Linked DNA regions of Callithrix jacchus. The protein of the gene in region 3 purifies or fractionates together with the protein of the main gene of each other region. This does not show direct contact. Links are inferred from orthologs where the notes say so. Each region holds a gene or a part of one and is shown on either strand. Other genes may lie near its edges. The genes, in order: CAST, CAPNS1 and CAPN1.

Region 1 (3,516 bases), on a different chromosome or scaffold from region 3:
CTACTAAAAATACAAAAATTAGCCGGGCGTGGTGGCAGGACCTGTAATCCTAGTTACTTGGAAGGCTGAGGCAAAGAATTGCTTGAACCCGGGAGGCAGAGGTTGCAGTGAACCGAGATTGCACTGCAGCACTCTGCCTGGGTGATAGAGCGAGATTCCATCTCAAAAAAAAGAAAAAAGAAAATCAAACTTGAAGGTTTCTTGTTCCGAGAGTGCCAGTTCAATTTCTCTGGTTTCTGCCCTTCTCTGTATCATGGTGAGATGGTCTTGGATCATGACCATTTTGACAACTGTGCTAAAATCATCCGCAAGCAGTTGTAGAAACACACAAGGGGCCAGGCGCGGTGGCTCAAGCCTGTAATCCCAGCACTTTGGGAGGCCAAGGCAGGTGGATCATGAGGTCAAGAGATCGAGACCATCTTGGTCAACATGATGAAACCCCGCCTCTACTAAAAATACAAAAAATTAGCTGGGCATGGTGGCGCGGGCCTGTAATCCCAGCTACTCAGGAGGCTGAGGCAGGAGAATTGCTTGAACCCAGGAGGTGGAGGTTGCGGTGAGCTGAGATCGCGCCATTGCACTCCAGCCTGGGTAACAAGAGCGAAACTCCATCTCAAAAAAAAAAGAAACACACAAGGCTTGCCTGGAGATGAACAATAGAACCCTCATTGGCTTCAGCATTCCAGACAGACCCAAGAGGGAAAAGATCATGGCTTCTCATCACACGTAATGTGCTACTGGCAGTATCCTGAATGAGCCAGATCAGGCTCAGGAAAGCAACTGCTGTCAGGTAGACTGTGCCTATACCTTTTCCACCTTTCTTTTCTTCTCTTGGGGTGGAGCAGCACTTTTGATTATACCTGCTGACTGAGCTTTTAAAACTTCTGTAGATTTCTGAAAAATAAAATACAAAAGATTAGATTGACAGATGAGGAAAGTTTAACTGTAACAGCCAGAACTAAAAAGTTACTATTCTTTTAAAGTTTAACAGTTTCTAACAAGTTTCCCTTAACAACAGTAAAAACAATACCTCCTTTTCAGTTTTCTTTCCAGCAGCTGTAGGCGACCCACAGGTGAAGTCGGATGACAAGGCATCTATAGCATCATCTGGCCCCATGGGTTTCTAAAGAAACAGGCACAATGATGAGTGACTTATGGAAACCACTCAAGGGGAAGAATGGATTGCGAACCTAGCAAATGAAGGAATCACTTTTGCGATTCCTTTGCTACCAAATGAGATGTGTTAATGCAACAACAGAGATCAAAGTGTATGTTCTGAAGACAGTGGCTACTCGCTAAGTATTATTTTCCACTTCCTCCTTTCTAAAGGAGCTACATGTTAGAGTATTCTCATTCTATCATTATGAACATGCATTCTATCCTAATACTTTCTTGCTTTCATTCCCCTTCCCCTCAGAAACCCTACTTATGAGACTAAGGAGCACTGAGACAACACTCACACCAACCCCTTTCTCTGAACACACAGCAACTCCATTTGATTTGGAGACGAGTTAAGTCATAATCCTCAAATACAGAATTGATAGCCCTGTTCCCTTAATCAAAAATATAAAAAATATTAATTTAGATCAGAAGACATTTATGTAAACTCACCGAAGAGTCTGGAGGAGGCCCTCTGATCCCTTCCTTTTTCTGAAACAAATATCAATTTGATGACGTTGAGAAGGTGGACTCAATCCTTAAGATTGGCCAAATGTATTTCTTGTTGTGGGCTGAATTGTGCCCCTCATTCCAGATTTATATGTTGAAGTCCTAACCCCAGTACCTCAGAACGAGACCTGATTTTCAGATTTATTTTTTATAGAAATAACCAAGTAAAGGTGAAGTAATTAGGGTGGGCCCTACTCCAATATGATGATGCATGTCCTTATAAAAAGGAGAAATTTGGACCCAGAGATACGCACAGAGACACAGAAGGAAGACGGTATGAGGAGACGCAGAGGGAAGATGCCCATCTATAAGCCAAACAGAGGCTCTGAAGATACCTTTCCCTCACAGCCCTCAAGGGACCCAGCCCTGCTGACACCTTGATTCTAGACTTCCAGCCTCCAGAACTGTGTGACAATCAATCTCTTGTTTATATCCCTGGTCTGTGGTACTTGGTTACAGCAGCCCCAGCCAATCGATACAGTGAGCTTCATAGTAATGACAATTTCACATGCACTATTATATTTTCTAACTTTTAAACATTGTGAAAATACTAATACAAAATTATATTCTAAAAAGGAAAGTGAAATAAAAGTAAATGGTTATTTACTTACAGCCAAGAGTTCCCTATATTTTGGTGGAATTGTGACTTCTCTTTTACCCAATTCCTCTATGTAGGTGGAGCTCATTGGATCCTGGAACAAAATCATACACATGGGGACAATACGTAATTAATTAGCTGAGAATGTTATATGCATATTCTGAAACTAAAACACTATTCCATTATTAATTTATGGAAGTATAAATCATTAAGAAGCCAATACTTTACATAACTAAATTTCTAAGTTTACACAAACACCCATATTTAATTGGCTTACCTCACGTAATGCTAGAAACTATTCAAAATACTAAAGTTGATTGCTAAATACATTTTGCTTTCAAATGCTTTCATTATCTAATGTTTCCAATTGATACAAAAGAATAGTTAATAAGATAACGAGCTTCTGTATAATCCAATACCCAACTGTATCAGATTTGTAATTTCTGAGAAAACAAAACCACAGATAGAGTAGATGTCTTCTGTTTAACATTCTGAAACCTAATTCTCTTTCCTTGTTAATCAGAAATAGTCACCATCTTGAACTTTAGCATGTCAATTTAGTTATTTGAGAACAATTTCTACATACGTAGGTATCCATAAACAATTTCCAGCATTACTTTCCTTATTTTCCAATGTTATATAAATGGTATAATATTCTACATACCAGTCTGCATTATTTTTATTCAAAATTATGTTTTTATTATGTATCCATGTTGATAGATGAATAATCCATTTTAACCACTATAAATCACTGAATTTTATGTTTCCAAACTTTTGACCATTTCTTGTAACTCCTTGCACACATGGGCAAGGCTCTTTTCTGGGAAACTCCCTAGAGGTGGACTTACTGGTTGAAGGGAATACTCATCATGAACACCCACCAGCTATAGGAAAGCTACAGGAATTGTCAGACTTTCACACTTTTGCTAATCTCATATATGCAAAGTAGTGTTAATTCCATGTTTTAATATCATTCTCCTAATTTCTAGAGAGAGTTCCATTTACTCGTTTATTGGCCAGTCAAGTTTTCTCCCAATTTTCCATTGGGTTGCGTTTTTGTTTTTAATTCTTTATAAATTCTAGAAACAAATCTTTTGTTATATCTGTTATAAAATATTTTTGTCTAGTCTATGGCATATCTTTTTATTTATTTTTATTTTTTGAGACAGAGTTTCGTTCTTGTTGCCTAGGCTAGAGTATAATGGCAAGGTCCGCGCTCACTGCGACCTCCACCTCCAGGGTTCAAGCAG
Region 2 (4,215 bases), on a different chromosome or scaffold from region 3:
CATGAGTTCTGTGGCACTGACCTCCATGTCCTGCAGGCGGAAGTTAGGGGGAGGTCAGGGGTGACTGAAAGGGGTCTGAAAATGTCGTGGAGAATGGGAACATTGGGATTGTTACACAGCCACAAGGGAAGGGATGGGAGGGATGGAAGGGTTAGCACGGGGCCAGGGACCCCAGGTTACTTACATCTCCAGCCAGCTGGGCAAAGAGTCTCCGGAACTGTCGGACCTCCTCACTTTCGTTGGCCTCAATGTTGGAGTAATGTGTGCGTGGAGGCTGCAGAGAGGGAGGAGAGCTCAGAGCTGGTGGGGGTAGGGGACCCGCCCAGGACAGCTCCTCACATTGAGGCACCCTGGGTGGGGAAGTCATAGTGGGCTGGGTGGCTTGATGAGAAAAAGAATGAGGGGTGGCAGCGAATGGGGAGTGTGTATGTCAGGGATGGCTAAACCCCATGGCGAAGCTGCGGACATGGCCCGGGAAGAACTGGCAGAGGAATGTCACAAGAAGTGGTGGAAGGTGGGGCTTCCCTACAGGTACAGGGATGGGACCTCGAAGAGGCCTTGGAGGGAGAAGTTTGGCTGGCTGCAGAGGGGGCTTACCGGGGGCTCCGGGTTATACTGCGCAGCCGCCTCGCTGCGAAGAGATAAGGGGGAGGGGTTAGCGCCTGGGGCGGGGCCTCCAACGGGCAGAGGGGCAGAACCATTGGCCCCGAGGCCACCTTCCTTACTTGGTTGCTGTGCCCCTTACCTGTTCTTGCCTTCACCTGTCCTAATCCACCCTGCCCTGGTCCTGCCCCCCTTCTCCTTTCATCAGGCCAACCCTACCCTCGAGGAAACCTAGAGACCAGTCCCCTGGGAGGCTCCACTCCTGCCAGGCATACCTACCCAAGGGCAGATTCCAGCCATCTTGGCCACCCTCGACCTAAAAATCCCACACAGAATCAACAAACCCTGCCCCTTGGAGAGCTCACTTTATAGAGGCTCTGCCCCAGCTTCCCAAGGCCTCATCCTCCTTAGGTGCCATCTGTCCAAGACCCTACTCCATGGCCCTCTTCTTAAATGGCTATCTTCCCAACATCCAACCACAGGTCCCCGCCCCTTCAAGGGATCATTGTTAAGTGGCCATGGCTAATTAGGCAAACCTGCCCTACCCCTATCAGGACATTTTTCTACATGAATCCAGCCAGTTTCCAGCAGGCCCAGCCCATTTTGGGCTATTTCTCCTATCTCATTAGGCCTTGGTTTCTCCTGGGCTCACATCCTCATTAACCCACCTAAAACCTCTCACCGCACTCATAAGTCAAGCTCCGTCCGTAAAATGTCACTCAGACGCATTGGCTCCGCCCCTTTAACGTTCGTTTCCAGGGTAGCCAATACAGGCCGGGCCCAGATCCATAAGCCCCGCCCCCAAAACTCCAGATCAGTGCCCTGAGGACCACATTGTCCTGGATCCACACAATCAGACCACCCCCATATCAAGTCCTGCCCCCAAGGACTGGTATCACCTTCACTGGGGTCCACCCTCTTATAGGACTCCCAAACCAGGCCACCCCGGCCTAATTCAGGTACCCAGGTCGGCCTCAGGTTAATTCTATTCTAGTCTAGTTAAATTACGCTCCTCCCCAGGCCCCGCCCCTTCTGAGGCTCCTCCCGCGTACAGGCCCCGCCCCTTCAATAGTCCCCACCTCACCTGATGGCGCTGATAACGCCGCCTAGGATGCGCATGGCCGTTCCACCGCCACCGCCGCCTCCACCGCCTCCGCCTCCACCGCCGCCGCCGCCGCCGCCCCCGGCCCCGCTGATCAGGCCTCCAAGTACATTCCCCAGGCCCCCACCCAGGCCCCCGCCTCCCCCGCCGCCGCTGCCGCCGCCGCCCTTCAAGAACGAGTTAACCAGGAACATGGCTGCGACTCACTGCTGGGGGAAAAAAGGGACTAGTGGTTGCGTCGTCCTGAGCCCACACCCTTCCCTCAAACACGCATTTCCGGCAGCTGGACTAGCAGGAGGAATCTGAGGCCCCCGGTGGGGGTCTGAGCCTGCGAGGGAGAATTGTCCTCGGATGGGTGGGGCAGGAACGGGGAATCAGGTTTGCAACCTCCTGGGGTCTAAAAGGCATCCGTGGGGCTTGAGGGAGCCTGGGCTGAGTGCACGCGTTAAGGGGAGGGTGCGGGTCTGGTGGGGGTCCTCTTGGTGGGGACTCCAAGTTGGTGTAAGGCGTGCCCGACGGAACTGAATGGAGAGGTCGCTGGCGGGTCATGGGCGCGGAGCAAACATCCACGGCCTAAAGGGCCCCAGGGCGGGGTTTAGGAAATCCCAAATGCGGGCTTGAGAATTTAGATGTTCCCAGCGGCAGGATTCCAGTGTCACCTTTGGGTCTGTGGGCTCGGGTCTAAGATCGTGGCTGTGATCCCTAGGGTCCCGGATAATGGGGTCCCCCGCTGGAACTGGGGGCACAGATCTACGATTGCGGTTCAGAACGCACCAAGGAAGAATTCAAGGGGTATCTCGGAAATCTATGGGCCTGCATTTTGGATCATGAGACAGAGGGTGGGGAAAGGTCCCCGGGACGGCATAAAAGGGGGTCGAACATGTCTGGGGTTTGAATATGAGACCATGGATCTGGGGACCCGAGGCCGAGACTTCACGGTCTCGCCGGGTCTGGGGACCGCCAGGGCCGGAATTGCAGGGTGGGGAGAGGGTACGGGCCGGGCGCTTACCACCGCACAGGTCCGGAGGTCCCGTGGGGTCCGTTCCACTGCCGCTCCCGGGCCTCCCGCTGCGTCCGGCTCCGAAGGGCGGGGCCGGTGACTCAGGACGCAACTCTCCGGTCAGACTCTGCACCGCGGCCCCGCAGTTGCCCGCGCGGTCCTAGAGCCGAAGTGGAAACTGCGCATGCGCTCCCCGACCCGCCGAGGCTAGCGGAACGCGAATCTGGCTGGACTCCTCCCGGCGCGTTTCCAGCTCTGGAGGTCCTAAACTCGCTCTGACTCGGTAGGCTGGGGTCTGAACCACACCCCTCAAGTCTGGGTTGAGGCGCCAGCGGACTAGAACTCGGAGGGGACCCGCCCCCTCCCAGTGTCGTAATGTGAATTTTCGCCCCAGGGCCTGCCTATACCCTTCCAGAGTGGCGGTTTTCGGTCCACTCACTAAGGAACTCCGCACGGCCCTCTCCAGGTCTTGTCGCGACAAACAGCTCCTGGAGGCCTGGAGTATGGTTTGGCTCGTACGCTCGAGTCTTTGGCGAGGACTTAAGCTGGACTGCCTTTCCGGGTGCCTGCAGCAGCACGGATGGCAGTCAAACCGCAGGCAGGGCCTGCGCCTCCTTCCAAGCTCTCCTTACCACGCCCCCGCCCCAGTCAGGGGCCACCAGAATCGTTGTTTGCTGGACCAGCCCAAAGGGTATCCTCTGTATGCCAGTCTCAAAAGCCCCCAGACACAGGAAGATTCCTTTGGGCACGGCCTGGTTTCTTTATTTACTTAAAAAATATGGCCAGGTGCAGTGGCTCACGCTTGTAATCCCAGCACTTTGGGAGGCCGATGGGGGTGGATCACGAGGTCAAGAGATCGAGACCATCCTGGCCAACATAGTGAAACCCGGTCTCTACTAAAAAAAAAATACAAAAAATTAGCTGGGCGTGGTGGTACATGCCTGTAATCCCAGCTACTCAGGAGGCTGAAGCAAGAGAACCGCTTGAACTGGGGAGGCACAGGTTGCAGTGAGCCAAGATCACGCCATGTGCACTCCAGCCTGGGAGACAGCGAGATTCATGGCGAATCATGACCAACATGGCGAAACCCCGTTGGTCAGGCTGATCTCAAATTTCTGACCTTAGGGGATCCACTTGCCTTGGCCTCCCAAAGTGCTCAGATTACAGGCGTGAGCTATAGCACACAACCGTGTTTAGTACTTTTTCAGGACTCTGGCGGGGAGCTAAATCTGGCCCCCAGGCAAGCTGGCTGACTCTTAGCCCCTATCCTGGAGGCTGGCTAGGCTTGAGTTGAATCCTGGCTGTGCCTGTAATAACTGCATACCCCAAAAGAGTGACTTGATGTTCTTGAGCAGCGATTTTTCTCATCTGTAAAATGGGAACATGGGTTGCTCCATACCACTAGGCCCCTATCAAAATTAAATGATATCTGCAGGAATACTACTGATTTACAAAAGAAATTAAGCAACAACTGGGCACGGTGGCTCACGCCTGTAATCTCCACACTTTT
Region 3 (4,042 bases):
TGTTTGAGCCTCCATTCTTCGTGTAGCCTCAGGATGGTATATAAGCTTTGTACCATTGCTGGGCTGGCGTGATCACTCTGTGGTTCCCAACCCCACCCTGCAGGCTAGTCAATTTGTATGCCATTTCTCCTACTAACCTCCTTTTGGGAGTTGATTTTTCAGTGAACCTTCAGAGGGCTAAGAGATGCTTTCCCTTGCCTGTATAGTATATACTAGATATACACATATATGCTATATACTAATACATGCATACCACATATAGATTAGAGATGTGTATACCTGATATGTACATGTATGGTCGAGATATACTAGATACATGATCCTGGGAAAGGTATCACCTCTGAGCCTCAGTTTCCCTATCCATAAAAAGGAGCAGCAGCACCTTCTTCAAAGAAGACTTAAACAAGAGCACACCAGCAAAGCCTTTCGTGAGTCACTGAACAAACAGGGTGGGAAAGCTCTCAGGCCTGGGCTTTCTGGAACTATCTCCCTTTTAGGCCATGGCCTCCTAGCTCTTCCCTCCCTATTCTAGGGGGTTAGGGGACACCCATGTCATTGGATGAGGAGTGAAAATGTGGCATCCAGACCCTACAGCCACAAGGTGAGCAGGACTAGTTCTCGCAATCACAGGCTTTGTTTCAGAGATGCCACAAGAGGCAGGTTTCCTAGGGCAGGGGCAGGGCCCAAGGCATCTGGGGTCAGAAGCAACTAAGGACTCCAGGTACTATCTGAGGGGTCAGGGCCAGGACAACAGGGGAGGAGAGGAGGCAGCCGGGAGCCCAGGTAGCAGGAACCCAGGTTGCAAAGTGGGTGGGTGGCAGGTACAGAACTGGCCAATCAGAGACTAGGGAGAAGTGAACTGGAGGAGCGAGGGAAGGGGGCAGGGAAGGGGGCAAGGCTGCGCCCCAGCAGACCACAGACCACAGCAGGTGGGTGTGGTGCTGGGCCAAAGTGGGTCCACACTGTGGGTTCTGCACCTTGGGTTCTGAGGGCCACCTCCACCCACACGTCAGGCAAGGACGGAATAGGATAAGGGGCTCTCTAACCAGGCAGAAGGAGGGGACACCCAGGACACCTTCGGGCAGGGCTGGGGCCTCCAAGGCCTGAGGGTCTCATCAGGGGTTGCTGGGCATGTCCCTCCCAATGGCAGCTCATTGAGAATTGATTGGTGTGACTTGAAAAATGGGCCCTGGGCACACCATCAGAAGAAGCTGGTTTCCATAGACTTAATCCCAAGTCTTTCTTTTCTGCTGAGGTCAGCCAGACCTTGCCAAAGTGCAGGAGGATTGGGGGATGGGGGGATGGGAGGCTTGACAGGTGCAGAAGGCCACACGTGCTGATGTTTTCCCCAGGGAGCACTCCTTTCTCAGATGGGGCAACTGAGACCGGCCCCGGAGAGGAGCGAAATTTGTCCCACAGAATGTAACACAAAAGTCTTTCTGTTCTTTCAAGCACTTTCCACCTGATACATACCATCACCAAGGAAAACTGCCAGCCCAAATACCTGCCCAGCCCAGTTACTTCACACATGACAGACCCCAGATGGCACTGAGAGGTCAAATACCTGTTGGAGGGAGGGCTGGCCCCAAAGGGTGTGGCCCTAACTCCGGTCCACATCTCCCCTAGTGCCTGCTGCCCCCCCTCCCCAGGTGGGCGCTCACCTGGAAATGGAAGATGCCGGCATAGCCATCCTGGAAGCTCTGGCCATGCGGAACCACTCGGTGTAGGAGGTTGTCGTTGAGAGTGAGGGAGGCGATGGCCGCCAGGAGCCAGCAGTCCCCTGGGGCAGGATGAACGCATATCAGTCTGCTCTACCCACCTGCCACAGGGGGGAAGTGGGTGCTCATGCTGGGGAGAATCTGGGGTTCCTTGGCCAGAGTGCCATTTAACTCCGCTAAGCTTGCAGAAAAGAATCTAGGCAAACCAGCCCAGCACTGATAGCCAGAGCCTGCCTGGGCTTGCAGGAGGGAGGAGTTGGGGCAGAGCCTGAAGGAGCGGGAATGGGGAACTACTGTGGAAAAAACACCCGGGACCCCACCCCCCCCTGGGGGCTTACCCAGTGCTCCCTGGCAGATGTCTGTGCGGGTGGCTCCATCCACGATGAACTGGGGGTTTGACAGCAGCTCCTACGAGAGAGCCAGAGTCCTGTCCCTGGCCCAGCACCTCCCAGAAACTGGCACCCGGCCACCCCAGACCCCATTCCCCACCAGGGATATGGACTGTCATTCCTACTCCTCATCCAGGATCTGGGCTCAGCTGAGTCCCACCCCAGATGGCCCCTCTCACCGTGGGCCGCTTCCACTTGATGCCATAGGTCTTGGAGGAATTGGGACCCAGCTCCTTGAAACCCAGGCTCTGGGGCACAGGAGGGAAGGCCTCATCACGGAAGAGGGTCCCACTCTGCAGGCATCGTGCCCGCAGCTGCTCATAATCCTGGCCCAGGTACTTGATGGCATTCTCATGGCGGCCCAGGCCCAGCTCCTTGGCCCGCTGCTTCTGCACTTGGGCTGACACCCCGGTGCAGTACACGGGCGTGATGATCTCCTCCGCCATCCTGCGGGAGAGATGGGCCTGCTCAGAACCCAGGCCTTCCCAAGTCTAGAACCTGGGCTCCTGCCTGCAAGCGTGGCTGTCCTGCCCCTGCTTATCAATCCCCAGACCTGGAGTTTCCTGCCTTACTGATCCCCTCACAAATGCAGGGTTTCCAGCCACCTCTCGGTACTCCCAGTGAATCCAGGAAAGGGGTTTCCCAGTACCCTGGCGAGCCAGCCACCACCTCTCCTTGCCTAGATCCCATTGTCAGGGGCTTGCAGCTCTGTGGTGAGCCAGCAGCAGGTCAGATGGGGCAGGGCGGAGCCTCCAGACAGCACAGGAACTGGGCAGGTGGGACACGGCAGGGCAGGCCTCTTTGATCCTGTTCACAGGCCTGCAACCCCCTCCCCAAACTAGCCACGCTCCTTGTGCACCGGACCCTTGCCGTGGGCTGAAAACCCCACAGTTGGGGTCCCCCCTCCTCAGGCCCTCGCAGCAGGCTCCATTATCAGAGCTAGAGGGACCCAGCCCAGCCCCTGGGGACAGCGGTGAGCCAGGCTGGGACTGGCGCCTGAACTGTGCCGCTCGACAGCCCCCGCCCCTGCCCCAAGCACGCAGAGGGCCCCGAGAAGGGGCCGAGCTGGGGCAGCCCCTCAGCCCGGGAGCAGTGGCCGGGGTCAAGGAATCCCGGCTCGGCACCCAGCTTCTTACCTGGAGGAGTACTGTTTGGGGGTCGCTGCGGTCCCTAGGGCTGGCTTCCCGGTGGCAGCTCAGGGCAGGGCCCAACCAGGAAGAGGGCTCCTCCCCGCCCTCCGCCCTCCCTCTCTCCTTCTCCTCCTCCTTCTCCTCCCGGGGATCCCACCCCGCTTCCTCTCGGCTCCCCCTAATCTCTCCGGCACCGTCTCTGACTATCTCTTACGGTGTCTTCCCGCCCCTCCCTCCGCAGGCCGGGGGCCAATTCCGCGAGAGGACAAATTAGTAAAAGGCAGCGCAGTCCCCGGGGAGGGGCCAGCGCGGGTGGGGCCAGGGCGCGGACGGAAGGGCGCCGCGGGACGGGGAGGGGGTGGGGGAGGGCCTGGCAGGGGGTATTTTTAACCAGGGGCAGCAGCTCGAGTTGCAGGGCCGGGCTGCCACACCCCACGCGAGCCCCGCCGGGCATTCCCCGGTGATCAGACGGCGGCGCCGCCTCCCGCAGCCCCGGGCCCTCCCCGTCCCCCACGCCGTCCCCTGCGCCCCTCGCTCCGCGCTGCCGCAGCTGTTCCCGCCGCTCCCAGCCAGCCCCGGCGCGAGGCCGAGATTACCTCGGGCTGCGGCAGCTGCTCCAAGGAGGGGCCGGGCTGGCGGCGAGCAGACCCCTGCCGGACACTCCGCAAACGGCAACCCAACCCGCGGGGCCGCGCCTCTCCCCGCCCCCACCCCAGGGGAAACGCGAGGGGACCGGGCTCGCTGCGTGACCTTGGGTAAGTCCCTGCCGCTCTCCCCCAAGCTCTCAGCCCACCCACCAGCAAGC

What was found.
Region 1: the proteins of CAPN1 (region 3) and CAST purify together in Homo sapiens (co-immunoprecipitation; 4 studies listed by BioGRID and IntAct, counting the BioPlex papers as one, with this or other methods). This does not show direct contact. The link is inferred for Callithrix jacchus from reciprocal best matches to the Homo sapiens genes CAPN1 and CAST.
Region 2: the proteins of CAPN1 (region 3) and CAPNS1 purify together in Homo sapiens (co-immunoprecipitation; 4 studies listed by BioGRID and IntAct, counting the BioPlex papers as one, with this or other methods). This does not show direct contact. The link is inferred for Callithrix jacchus from reciprocal best matches to the Homo sapiens genes CAPN1 and CAPNS1.

Annotation. Positions count from the first base shown.
Region 1 is NC_133503.1:113,870,528-113,874,043, forward strand, and holds part of CAST (calpastatin), read right to left. Parts: intron 2,361-3,516; coding exon 2,280-2,360; intron 1,651-2,279; coding exon 1,612-1,650; intron 1,124-1,611; coding exon 1,031-1,123; intron 895-1,030; coding exon 808-894; intron 1-807.
Region 2 is NC_133523.1:32,291,162-32,295,376, reverse strand, and holds the start of CAPNS1 (calpain small subunit 1), read right to left. Parts: upstream 2,809-4,215; 5' UTR 2,715-2,808; intron 1,915-2,714; 5' UTR 1,900-1,914; coding exon 1,688-1,899; intron 1,334-1,687; exon of another isoform or gene 1,295-1,333; coding exon of another isoform or gene 1,272-1,294; intron 632-1,271; coding exon 598-631; intron 275-597; coding exon 185-274; intron 31-184; coding exon 1-30. UniProt on the Homo sapiens protein: Regulatory subunit of the calcium-regulated non-lysosomal thiol-protease which catalyzes limited proteolysis of substrates involved in cytoskeletal remodeling and signal transduction. Essential for embryonic development.
Region 3 is NC_133511.1:122,258,851-122,262,892, reverse strand, and holds the start of CAPN1 (calpain-1 catalytic subunit), read right to left. Parts: upstream 2,802-4,042; 5' UTR 2,798-2,801; coding exon 2,757-2,797; intron 2,555-2,756; coding exon 2,287-2,554; intron 2,127-2,286; coding exon 2,057-2,126; intron 1,781-2,056; coding exon 1,662-1,780; intron 1-1,661. UniProt on the Homo sapiens protein: Calcium-regulated non-lysosomal thiol-protease which catalyzes limited proteolysis of substrates involved in cytoskeletal remodeling and signal transduction. Proteolytically cleaves CTBP1 at 'Asn-375', 'Gly-387' and 'His-409'.